3 linked regions of the Nothobranchius furzeri genome follow. The protein of the gene in region 1 binds, or shares a complex with, the protein of each later gene. Links are inferred from orthologs where the notes say so. Each region holds a gene or a part of one and is shown in the gene's direction. Other genes may lie near its edges.

Region 1 (3,512 bases):
GCTGAAACTGAGAAAAAACAACGGTATGAACCGAAACGCCTGTATGTTTCAGGACCAGTTAAACCGATATGAGAAGGCGATCTACGCCGGCCTGAGCGGAAACCTCAAACCAGTAATTCCATTTACAAAGTAGAGGAGTGATCAGATTGATGCGTTGACCTGTGGAGGTGACTGGTGGTTTTTGTTCAGCTCCTTTCAGTGTGTGAGTCATGGGAGGACTGTGTGTGGGCCTACTTCAGAGTGATGGTCGACTCGCTGGTAGAGAAAGAGCTTATGTCGTCGGGCATGGCCCATCAGGAAGTAGAGTCGCTACCCCGAGAATATCTGGAGGCCAAGTAGGAAACACATTAACTGGAAGAAAATATTCCAAAATAAAGTTTCTGACGACTGTACTGTCTGGGGTTTTCTTCACAGTTGGACCATGGAAAAGGTTTTTGAGGATCTCCAAGCGTCAGAATCAAAGGTGACGCTCTCGCCGACCGATTGTGTGGATTAAAATGAGAAATGTCTGACAGCGCCTCATCCTGAAGCTCTTTCTGTGTTTATGTTCAGAGAGTTCTGGATGAAAGTAAAGAACATCATCACATCATCCAGAAGTTTGTCATCCTGGGAGATCTTGACGGTAAAACAACCCAAATCTTTGTTGTTGTTTTTTTCTTATGGAGGCTGAAAGGGATCAAAAAGCTGCTGATGGGCACGGGCCAGCGTGTTCCCTCGCCCGGACCCGGGTCACCGGGGCTCCCCTCTGGAGCCAGGCCTGGAGGTGGGGCACGATGGCGAGCGCCTGGTGGCCGGGCTTTTACTCGTGGAGCCCGGCCGGGCACAGCCCAAAGAGGAAACGTAGGTCCCCCTTTCCATGAGTTCACCACATGTGGAAGGGGCCGGGTGGTAGCTGTATGCAGGGACCTTGGAGGTCTGATCCTCGGCTACAAAAGCTGGCTCTCAGTATGTGGAATGTCACCTCTCTGGTGGGGAAGGAGCCGGAGTTGGTGGGTGGGGTTGAGATGTTCTGACTAGATATAGTCGGACTCACCTCGACGCATGGCTCTGGCTCCAGAACCAGTTTCCTTGAGAGGGGTTGGACTTTCTACCACTCTGGAGTTGCTCCCACTGAGAGGCGCCGAGCAGGGGTGGGCATACTAGTTGCCCCCCATCTTGGTGCCTGTACGTTGGGGTTTACCCCAGTGAACGAGAGGGTAGCCTCCCTCCGCCTCCGTGTGGGGGGACGGGTTCTGACTGTGGTCTGTGCTTCTGCACCAAACTGCAGCTCAGACTACCCACCCTTTTTGGAGACCTTGGAGGGGGTGCTGGAAAGCGCTCCTTCAAGTGACTCCCTCGTTCCGCTGCAGGACTTTAACGCTCATGCGGACAACGACAGTGAGACCTGGGCCCTCATTTGTCGACCGTTCGTAGAAAGGGTCCTCTATTCCCTCTTACGACTGAAATTTAGAATGTGTGTGTGCGGTGGCCTCTCGTACGCACGTCTGATGGTAAATCCCAACCTGTGCGTACCCAGGTGCTCGTGTCCGTTCTCAGTAATTTACATACAGAAATGGACTGGAATCGGATTAATGCGGTTTGTCTGTCGCGCCACAAAGGGTCCCAAACCACAGCATAGCAGCAGGATTTGTTTTGAGATCAGAGCGCTCATGGAGATGGCGTTCCCTTCAGAGAGCACGCTCTGCTAAATCCTCCATTAACACAGATCAGCCGTGATATTAAGTCAGATTTCCATCGGTCACGGGTGTCTTTTATTGGTTTTAGCACTAATTATGTGAAAAAGCCATTTTTCCACCGACATAATTACATACTGGTACCGGCAGTCCAAACGGAATGCAGGTCGGATGATCACAGAGGCAAAAACACATGTGTGGGAGGAGTTTGGTGAGCCCATGTAGCAAGACTTCCGTATAGCTTTGAGAGGAGATTCAAAGCTCTTGATTTACAGGTCGATCTGCATTCCTACCCTGACCTATGGTCACGAGCTTTGGGTAGTAACCTAAAGAATGAGAGCACGGATACAAGCGTCCGAAATGAGTTTTCTCCGCAGGGTGGCTGGGCTCTCCCTTAGAGATAGGGTGAGAAGCTCAGTCATCCGGGAGGGGCTTGAAGTAGACCCGCTGCTCCTCCACATCGAGAGGAGCCAGCTGAAGTGGCTTGGGCATCTGATCAGGATGCCTCCTGGACGCCTCCCTGGTGAGGTTTTCCGGGCACGTCCAACCGGGAGGAGACCTAAAGGTAGACCCAGGACACGCTGGGGGGACTTTGTCTCTCGACTGGCCAGGGAACGCCTTAGGGTTCCCATGCCATACCATGCCATAGTTTACTTATACAGCACATTTAAAACGCAGCATGGGAGCTGCCCAAAGTGCTGCACAGGCTGGACCAAATCACGACCAATCAAAGCAACAAAAACAGAAGATAAAAATACCGATCAGTAAAAGCAAATAAAAAATGAGGAATACTAAGAACACAATAAAACACTAAAACGAGTCACGGTCTAAAAGCCAAATCGTAGAAGTGGGTCTTTAAACGAGATTTAAAAAGTAAGCAGGTCAGAGAGATGGGGAGATGCCAGGTCATCGAGTGCTTTAAAGACAAAAGTCAATAACTCAGTAGCTGCTGAGAGGGAAGTCTGGGCCTCTCGGCTTAGGCTGCTGCCCCCGCGACCCGACTCCGGATAAGCGGCTGAAAATGGATGGATGGAGTTTAGTTGTTTTTTTTTAATATATATTTTTTTAAGTTTAGTGTTTCAATCTGATTTTCTCCTTGAGAGCCAAAGGAAGCTGCTTTAGTTTTAGCTTTGTTACAAAAGGGATAAAACTGTGTTCAGGAATGGATGGAAAACAAAAATTTTAACAGGCAGATTCTCTATTTTATAAATGGTGTTTACAGTTTTTCCACAAAAATAAGCAATCAATGATGAACAAGAGTCTGCTTCTAGACCTGCAGAAAGAGAAAAAAGGGAAATATAAAATCAACATTATTTTACTGAACAATCACGATAATAAGTCACAGTGCATTTAGTGGCAACCACAGCCTTAAGACCTGTGTTGAACGTGCCCAAGTCCATACTTATGAGAGCACCTAGTAAGCACCTGTGTGTGTACACACGCTTGTTTTTGTAAGGTTTCTCTATAGGAGCGTCCAATAGAGAGTGTGAGGGGCCACAGATCTGCCCCCTAAAGATGTGTAGGAGACAGGGGGAGCTCCAAGTCTCAGAAATCCAGGAGCTGCCCCAGAGCACAGGGACCCCAGGGAGACAGTGACCAGAAAAGCCCCTACCCCCTCAAGAGGCGCAGAGGATCGCCCTGGGGGCCACAACCAGCAGCCGGCAAAGTCCTGGGAGACATCAGCGGCAAGCCCACAGGCCCGCCCCGCAGCCTCCCACCCCCAAGCCGGCTGAGCCCGGGACCCGGATCCCACCAGGCAACCACCGGATCAATCAGGCAGATGCCAAAAATCTTAAACCCCTCTGACCCGGGAGCCGCGGACACTCAGGCAGACCGAAG
Region 2 (4,074 bases), on another chromosome or scaffold:
GCATTCCTAGTTACAGTTTGCTTCAACTATGAGACAGAATGTAAAAAATCCTGGAAGTCACACTGTAAAATTTTCTAAGAAATTATTTGTATCATGGTGCAGAAGATACATATTTAGTGCCTACATATGTGCAATAATTCTGGTCCTCACATACCTGTTACTTCTTCTTTAAGAAGCTTATCTATCCTCCACTTGCTGACTGAATTAGTGGCAACTGGTATCTGTATAAAAGACACCTGTCTACACCTTCAGTCAGTCAGACTCCACCATGGCCAAGACCAGAGAGTTGACAAACGACATCAGTGTCAGGATTGTACACCTGCACAAGATTGGCTTGAGTAAATCCACAACAGGTAAGCAACTTGGTGGGAAGAGATCAACTGTTGCAGCAATTATTAGAAACTGGAATAAATACAAAATCACTGACAGTATTCCTCGACCTGTGGCTCTGTGTAAGATCTCACCTTGTGGGGTACAAATGATCTTGAGAATGGTGAGGAAACAGTCCAGAAGTACATATGGGGAATTAGTGAATGACCTGAAGAGAGCTGGCACCACAGTGACAAAGGTTACTACTGGTAACATACTACATTGTTATAGATTAAAATCCTGTGGCACTCAAAAAGTCCTGGCGATGTTAGAACATCCACAACTTAGTTTAGAGAAAGAAGATTTTTCCTATGAAAGAGCACTCTTTGGTGGGCAAAAACTAAAAGCAGCACTTTTTGGCAACTCTGAACTCTGGCTGCTTAGAATTTCTGAAAGTTAAGATTTAACTGGGCTTGGAATAATAGTTTTATAAAGCAGCTTGAACGTATGAGACTTTAACAGCTGGTGGAGAGGGTGTCCCCCCACCCCAAAATTTTTTTTAAAACAAAATCAAGATTTGAGGTTCATAAAGACCTTGTGAGTGTTACATTAGCACGTGAAGTCATTAGAATAATTCTCTATGTCCAAATTCACCAGATATTGAAAATTTTAGGAGAATTTAGGTACCTTACATAATATACAGGCCCTTTCTTCTTCTTTATGCAATGGTGATGTGTCAGAATATTTTTGATTCATCATTGGTTTGTATGTGTATATATATATATATATATATATATATACCGGGCATATGTATATCCATCCATATGTATAATATAGACTGTGGTATCAGTTATGAACACGAGGTGGCAATAGTGCTCTAATTGACTGCATAGAGCAATGACAACGACCGGGTAAGCGGCCTTGAAGAAGTAACATTAACCAACCAGATCTCGCCTAACTGCTGCCTGGCAACCAGCGACCAATAGGATTCCTGGTGTGTGAGCGCGGATAAACGGATTTGTTGTGTTTGCTGGAAGCTGTAGCCACATAGCATTCAGAATAACATTTGGTTTAAAGGTTTTATAAATTCACCTGGAATGAGTTTATCTCTAAGGTAAGGAGCTAACCTTTTGTCGCGAGATGTGGCTGTTACAGTTCAGTTGAAACCGGTGGTACGTCGAGATTTGTTCCCCAGTTGAAAAACGTACGCCTTCGCTTGTCTCGTCAAGATGATTTCGTCCTGCCAAATTGTACAATTATAGGCGTAGATGTTATTTTTTTTATCAGGATAAGACATTTATGAGGGAACGAGTCCCTTGTGTATAACTGTAAATTGAGTAATATTATCTAATTGTATCGTAATCTGAATTAGATTAGAATTAGTGATATTCACTAAACATGATGAATTTCACAGCTACAGCAATGACCAAATGATTAAGATATATATTTTTAGGGATTTTCTTGAAATAATATTGCTAAACACAACAGTTTACAAAGAAGCTGGCGGAGAAACGGTGGGGGACCCGAATGTACTAGTTTTTTGTTTTGTTTTGTTTTTTTCCATCTGTCAATAAACAATTTCCCCCAGACTTTTGGAGGTCCTCCCAATGTTTTTGGTAAATGTGGGTTGTTTTTGTTGTTGTTGTTGTTGTTCAGCAGAGGCTTTGGAGAATGAGGTTTACCTTATTGTTGACACATGACCTTAAACCTTAACCAAGTTTGACCTACAAAGCTTTAGATGTTCTTCTGGGTTATTTTGCTTTTGATTTTTTTTAGAACAAGGCATAAGGTAGATTTTTTTAAGATCCTTTAGCCTACCCTGTGTCATCAGAGAGACCCCAATAAACATTACAGAAAATGGTTTAGTTCTCATTGGATAACAAAGTGTATGGGTTAATGCATTAATAAGTCATGGCTGTGATACAGGTAGTGTCTGAGGTGAGACTGCATGTGTGTTTGTTTCAGCAGAACTGATCTTGCAGCTGAGACAACCAAGCGCAAGAAGAGGAGGGAGCTCACCGAGGACCAAAAGCATGAAATTAAAGAAGCTTTTGACTTATTTGACACGGATAAAGATAAGGAGATTGACTATCACGAGCTGAAGGTAAGAAAATGGGCCATAGTGGTGGTTGTTATGGTTACCTTATGGTTTTTGTGCCTGAAATAATGCCGTATATAAGTTATGCTTTTATAACCTCATCATTCCTATTTTTCTTTAACTGCTGTGAATGTGGAGCACCAGGTATTTATGTATTATTATGTAAGTAAAAGTAACTAAATACCATTTAATCACCTTTTGGAGAAACGCTAATGGGTTTTCCATGTCTGAAGGCACCCTGCTGAAATAAAGCTCCAGGGGAATTGGAGCTAACGTTCTACAGCAATAACATTTATTTGTTGTTTTAGTGCTAGTTACTAATTGTTCTAATCCTGAATTCAAACCAAAACAACATTTAAACATCTTGTCAGGTGGCGATGCGCGCTCTCGGTTTTGAAGTGAAGAAAGTGGATGTTCTGAAGATTCTGAAGGATTACGACAGAGAGGGAAGTGGGAAAATCACCTTTGAGGATTTCAGCGAAGTGGGTAAGGTGGTCATCGGCTCTGGTATTACCTCATAGCTTGAGGTGCTTCATTAGCTACTAAACCTTTTCCCTACCCCTCAACAGTTACGGATCGCATCTTGGAGCGAGATCCCAAAGAGGAGATCATGAAGGCTTTCAAGCTGTTTGACGATGACGAGTCAGGAAAGATCAGCCTGAGGAACCTGAGACGGGTTGCTCGAGAACTCGGGGAGAACATCAGCGACGAGGAGCTACGCAGCATGATCGACGAGTTTGACACAGACGGGGATGGAGAAAGTAAGACCGGAGTCTGAGATGAGAGCAACTCTGTCTCTCTTTTGTTGTGATTTTGTGTCTGATTAGAGCCGCAGATGCAACAATACCAACATCATCACTGCATCTTCTGGCACACACAGGCATTTTAATTATTTATATGATTGTTCCTAACATTGTTGCTTTCACTGTTAGACCAGATCCTGTCACGTCAGCAGGCATCTGCTGCCCTGGAACAAAATAGATTTACTAACGACAATGTGTAAACATGTTCAGTTAAAGTAACAAAAATCCACTGCTGCTTCGCTTTTTGTTTGTTTTCTTTCATTCTTGCGTCTAAGCTTTCCAGGTAAATCCAGTAGATCTGACCAGGTGTTTTTCCCTTCTTTTCAGTAAATCAGGAGGAGTTCCTCTCCATCATGACCAGAGACCCATGAAGAGGTTTCCCCATCTGTAAGTTGGACTCTTTGCCCATATTGGGAGGAGATATGGGCCTTGTTCTCTTGCTTCTGAGGTGGACTGGACTTTATCAGGAGCCTGGAGCTTTGTTCTGACTTGGTTTGATAAATAAAAGCACCAGATCGTGTCTGGACCAACATCTGCTCACACTGCTCAGTTCCTCTCGTAGACATGAAGTGTCAATATGATGCTGACCTGCTGGCATTTCTTTAAGAAGCGAGCTTTTATTCATGGAGTGTGTTTGTGTAGAAGACGAGTCTGAAGCTCCGTTAGGAACGTGTTAATGTGATGTAGTAAAACACAGAAGATCAGATCTGTTTCACTCGTATCCTATTTGACCTGTTGCAGTTATTAGTTAAATGTGGCATATTTATTTTTAAATTGTTTTGCCAACCCTACTCATTTGTCATTTCCCAAAGAGCCAGAGTCGTCAGACCCGGCACCATCATACTTTAATAAAGTACTTTCAAA
Region 3 (3,940 bases), on another chromosome or scaffold:
TAAATCATGGCACAGAGTGAATGAAGATTCTGTAGTTGTAAAAATGTGACCTTTTTATTTTTAAGAAATATGAAACTGTTGAGTGCAGACAAAAATGTTGCACTAATTTACACAAGCTAGTTGAAATCTTTTTCCCAGATCAACACAAACTCACATGACTTTTGGACTGAGGACGACACCAGCTGGTCGTCTGTATGTTATCAAGAGGAAGGAAGGAGAATGCGCGCCTGCGGATGCGCGCTCACAAACCTTCCGGTCTATCAAAGTAGCAGCTAGGTGAATTGTATCAAGCAACTTTAAAATGGTCTGTAACGCAACATGCGGAGTTGTGCTTCTTCCTTTTAAGTTCCTACATTCCAAAGCGGGTAAAAAAAACTCAGTCGACATAATGGAGACACTAACCTTTGGTTTTTCATCAGCCATGGTCACTCTTTTGGCGCTTCTCTACGCTGCCACACAAAGAATACGAGCACGCGCACGTACTCGTGCCCGTTTAAAATAATCTTGCAAACGTGCGCGACCCTGTATCCGTGCGCGTCCACCTTGGCCGACACTCATTTGCTTAAATTGGTCACGAGGTGAAAGCGCGGTCTGGTGATGGGCGGGAGAGTCCCGCGAGCGCGTCACAGAGGCGCTATAATCCACATGCACGCGCACAGCGATGTTTTCCCTTTTGCTTTAAGCTTTATGAACGTAGACATTATCAAATGAGACAGTTATTGCGTGAATTACTTCACGTCTGCGTCGGGAAGTTTAGTCAACATCCCTCTACTGCGTGGTATCCAAACTTGGAAGACATGATACCCATGTTACTGGTCTTATCCCTGTTTACCAGCGGCCATCTTGTTTCACTAAATATGCCTAAAAGCAACTTCAGTTCAGTTATAGGTTATAGGATATTTCACAGAAGTGCTCTTTATAAACATTTTCCAGTGGGAATGTTTGTGTTTTTGAGTGAATTAATATTAAAGGTAAATCTGACTCCACATAACCACATTTTATTGCGTAATCATGCGTTACGAATTATCTAATTCCAATGTATATGAGAGGGACAATTTTATTTGCTTTATTAACAGCAGTCGATTAAAAAACAGGCATTAGAAAGGGCAGCCCTTCGTGACGCATGCGCAATAGTGGATTTCAAGCACCCATGAACCACGGCGCGTAATAGCAGATGAGAGCATCACATGTATTTAATGTATATTTTGTAGCTGAATAGTTTGTATTTTATATTTTCTTTGCATCAGAAACATTATTACCAGATGGAGGAAGTAGACGTTGAGCCGGTAGTTACTGTAAGTTGTCTCTTGTGTGTTTTTACCATGGTTTTTACTGCTAATAGCCACTCTACTGCTAACAAGCTAGCGGAACCGCAACAACCTTCTGAAATCACGAAACCAACAATTTATTTTGGGTTTAGTAAAACGCGCAATAAAGGATAATCACTGTGCGAGTGACTTCAAACGTAGGTGAGGGAAGTGTTATTATTAGCTTGTAAACGCCTGTACGAGTTGGTTGATGTGTTTGTTATATGGTATTCATTAGTTAAAAATGGGGCAACATTGACATTCTTTATAGTTTGAAGTGGGTCAACTATTTAATAATACTAATTTTTTAGAAATGCAAGGTTTTGCTTGATTAAAGTGTTTAATAAAATATCTCTTTGTACTTCATAAAATGTTGTGTTTTTTTAAATGCAGAATATTTCTGGAATCAGACCTGGGAAGCGTATGGGATTTGCATGGGGTCCTGGTGATATACTTGTGTATGAGACACAAAACAAAGCATCAGGTAGAAGGAGTTTTTAAATCAAAGTCCTGCCTCAAGTGCTTTTTTTTTAACTGTATTTTTGATGCATTTTGTGTAATGTGTTTTCTTTGTTTCAGGACCTACAGGGTCAGGTTGTGCCTTCATCCACGTGGTGCGGAAAGACGAGGACATCTATTCCCCCATCTTAAGAAAACTTTTTAACGAGTCGCATCACATCTTTGTTGGACTGCAGACAATCAAAGATGATCTCCCAAGCAAGAGCAAAAAACCACAGTAAGAAGGCTCCACGGGGTCCTCCACCACTGTACACCCTGCTTTTAAGTTAAAATGAGCAGATAAATGTTACTTATGATAACTGAGATTTTCTTTACAGGTTTGTAAGCATCAGCAGAAACTACAGGTCTGTGATTCGAGCCTGTATGGAAGAGCTTCAGCAAGCTGCAGGTGAGCTGTCTTGAATTTTACTAAAAACATGTTCTGAGCAATCTTATGCAAGAATAATAAACTCCATTATTATGCATTTTGTACAGTTTCTGCAAATGACACAGATATGGCCACACAGTACGGAAATCAGGCATGTACTTAAAATGTTTTGTCTTGGAGTTTAACTAAATATATTCACCATGCAGTTAGTTCATGACGTAAGGTCCTAAGTACACATGACATAACATTTTTATTCTCTGGTCCATTTTTCTGATGTCCATCTGATTTTTCCTGTCACAGGTGTCCATCCTGTTGGCCATAGAACTGATCTGGAATCTGTGTGAAGTGCTTTTCATTGATGCTGCTCCAGGTCAGAGGCTGATTAGTCTTAATTCTTCTTTTTCTTTTCGGAAAACATTTTTTCTTAGAGTATTTGACTTTGAGATTATGAACACACGCTCAAAAAACAATGCAGTGATGTGTGTGTGTCTTCTCAGCTGGTTCCCTCCTACTACACCTTCTGGACTGGGTGAGGTTACATAAATCCGATGTGGATGAGAAGGCGAAGGGGGTGCTGCAGAGTGACAGCCCTGCTGAGCATCGTGACTACTGGGATGTGGTATGTGCTGTAAAAACCCTCTTAGATCATTTATTTAATCCCTGTTCTTTAAATAATATGTTCTTTCCTGACAGACTACAGTGGGAGATCTCATTTTTTGCGTTTTGTGTGTTTCAGGTTTTAAGTTATGTGCTACAGGGAAGGTTGGAAGACACTAGGAAGATGCTGATGAAACAGGCGATGCTGCAACCTGCTGCCAAGAGCATGTACAAGCTGATGGATAGCCTGCTAAGCAAGATGCCCTTCTATAATGTGAGCACCATGTATTTTACCACATTTTCTGTTGTCTCAACAAAAAGCCTAAAATGCTAAAGTTGACCTGACATTTAAAAGACCCTAGTCTTTCACCTTGGCCTTTTGGCTTAGTTTTTCTTAATAGCTTTTGACATTTTCTGAAATAGATCAAATGTTTTTTGTATTTAAAGTTTGTAGCGACTTCACACACCTAAACACGATGCACCCAACACAAGAAAATCAACCCTTCCCCTAAAGTGTCATATTTCAGGAGTCTTGTATCTAAAATTTTCAGCAGTTTACCATTTTATTTAAAGACTAAACCAGTTTTGTTATTGTTGAAATACAGTTGGTCACTCGGGTGAGTTTAACATGCAGATCTTCTACCCCTTCTTCCTGCATTAGCCGTCAAATCAAACTTTATTTATATAGCACTTAATCATACAATGCATGTAACTCCCAAGTGCTTAACAAATTAAAAAGGCCCCGCATACCCACATTCCCTCCCATCCCCAGAATTTTAAAAAGAGTCTGAGAATAAAAACCCCTTCACAACACTCATTGTCCGGCACACATACACACATGAAACATACGGGGAGCCAATGCAGTGATTCTAAAACTGGAGTGATGTGCTCCCGCTTCCTGGTCTTCGTCAGGACACGTGCTGCTGAGTTTTGTAATAGTTGTAGACCTGAAGTCCTCTTTTTAGGAAGACCAGAAAGCAGGGCATTGCAGTAGTCTATCCTACTGGTGATAAAAGCATGCATTACTAGCGTCTCCGTATTGGCCCGAGAGAGAATGGGGCGGACTCTGGTGATGTTCTTTAGATGGTGAAAACCTATTTTTGTGATATTTTTAATATGATGGCGCCGTCTGTTGTGGCTTGCCGTCTGG

What was found. The genes of interacting proteins can lie anywhere in the genome.
Region 2: nup107 (region 1) and cetn3 share a complex: the UniProt entries of both Homo sapiens proteins name them as parts of the nuclear pore complex. The link is inferred for Nothobranchius furzeri from reciprocal best matches to the Homo sapiens genes NUP107 and CETN3.
Region 3: nup107 (region 1) and nup85 share a complex: the UniProt entries of both Homo sapiens proteins name them as parts of the nuclear pore complex. The link is inferred for Nothobranchius furzeri from reciprocal best matches to the Homo sapiens genes NUP107 and NUP85.

The regions. Positions count from the first base shown.
Region 1 is NC_091741.1:38,075,445-38,078,956, reverse strand, and holds part of nup107 (nuclear pore complex protein Nup107), read left to right. Parts: intron 1-52; coding exon 53-112; intron 113-189; coding exon 190-335; intron 336-414; coding exon 415-463; intron 464-552; coding exon 553-622; intron 623-3,512. UniProt on the Homo sapiens protein: Plays a role in the nuclear pore complex (NPC) assembly and/or maintenance. Required for the assembly of peripheral proteins into the NPC. May anchor NUP62 to the NPC. Involved in nephrogenesis.
Region 2 is NC_091746.1:37,904,228-37,908,301, forward strand, and holds the start of cetn3 (centrin-3), read left to right. Parts: upstream 1-1,262; 5' UTR 1,263-1,406; coding exon 1,407-1,423; intron 1,424-2,274; coding exon 2,275-2,413; intron 2,414-2,778; coding exon 2,779-2,893; intron 2,894-2,976; coding exon 2,977-3,168; intron 3,169-3,537; coding exon 3,538-3,581; 3' UTR 3,582-4,074. UniProt on the Homo sapiens protein: Plays a fundamental role in microtubule-organizing center structure and function. As a component of the TREX-2 complex, involved in the export of mRNAs to the cytoplasm through the nuclear pores.
Region 3 is NC_091752.1:54,263,471-54,267,410, forward strand, and holds the start of nup85 (nuclear pore complex protein Nup85), read left to right. Parts: upstream 1-1,128; 5' UTR 1,129-1,262; coding exon 1,263-1,295; intron 1,296-1,700; coding exon 1,701-1,791; intron 1,792-1,886; coding exon 1,887-2,043; intron 2,044-2,143; coding exon 2,144-2,214; intron 2,215-2,300; coding exon 2,301-2,344; intron 2,345-2,493; coding exon 2,494-2,563; intron 2,564-2,690; coding exon 2,691-2,812; intron 2,813-2,929; coding exon 2,930-3,064; intron 3,065-3,940. Other genes in the region: small ubiquitin-related modifier 2, read right to left, coding at 403-423. UniProt on the Homo sapiens protein: Essential component of the nuclear pore complex (NPC) that seems to be required for NPC assembly and maintenance. As part of the NPC Nup107-160 subcomplex plays a role in RNA export and in tethering NUP96/Nup98 and NUP153 to the nucleus.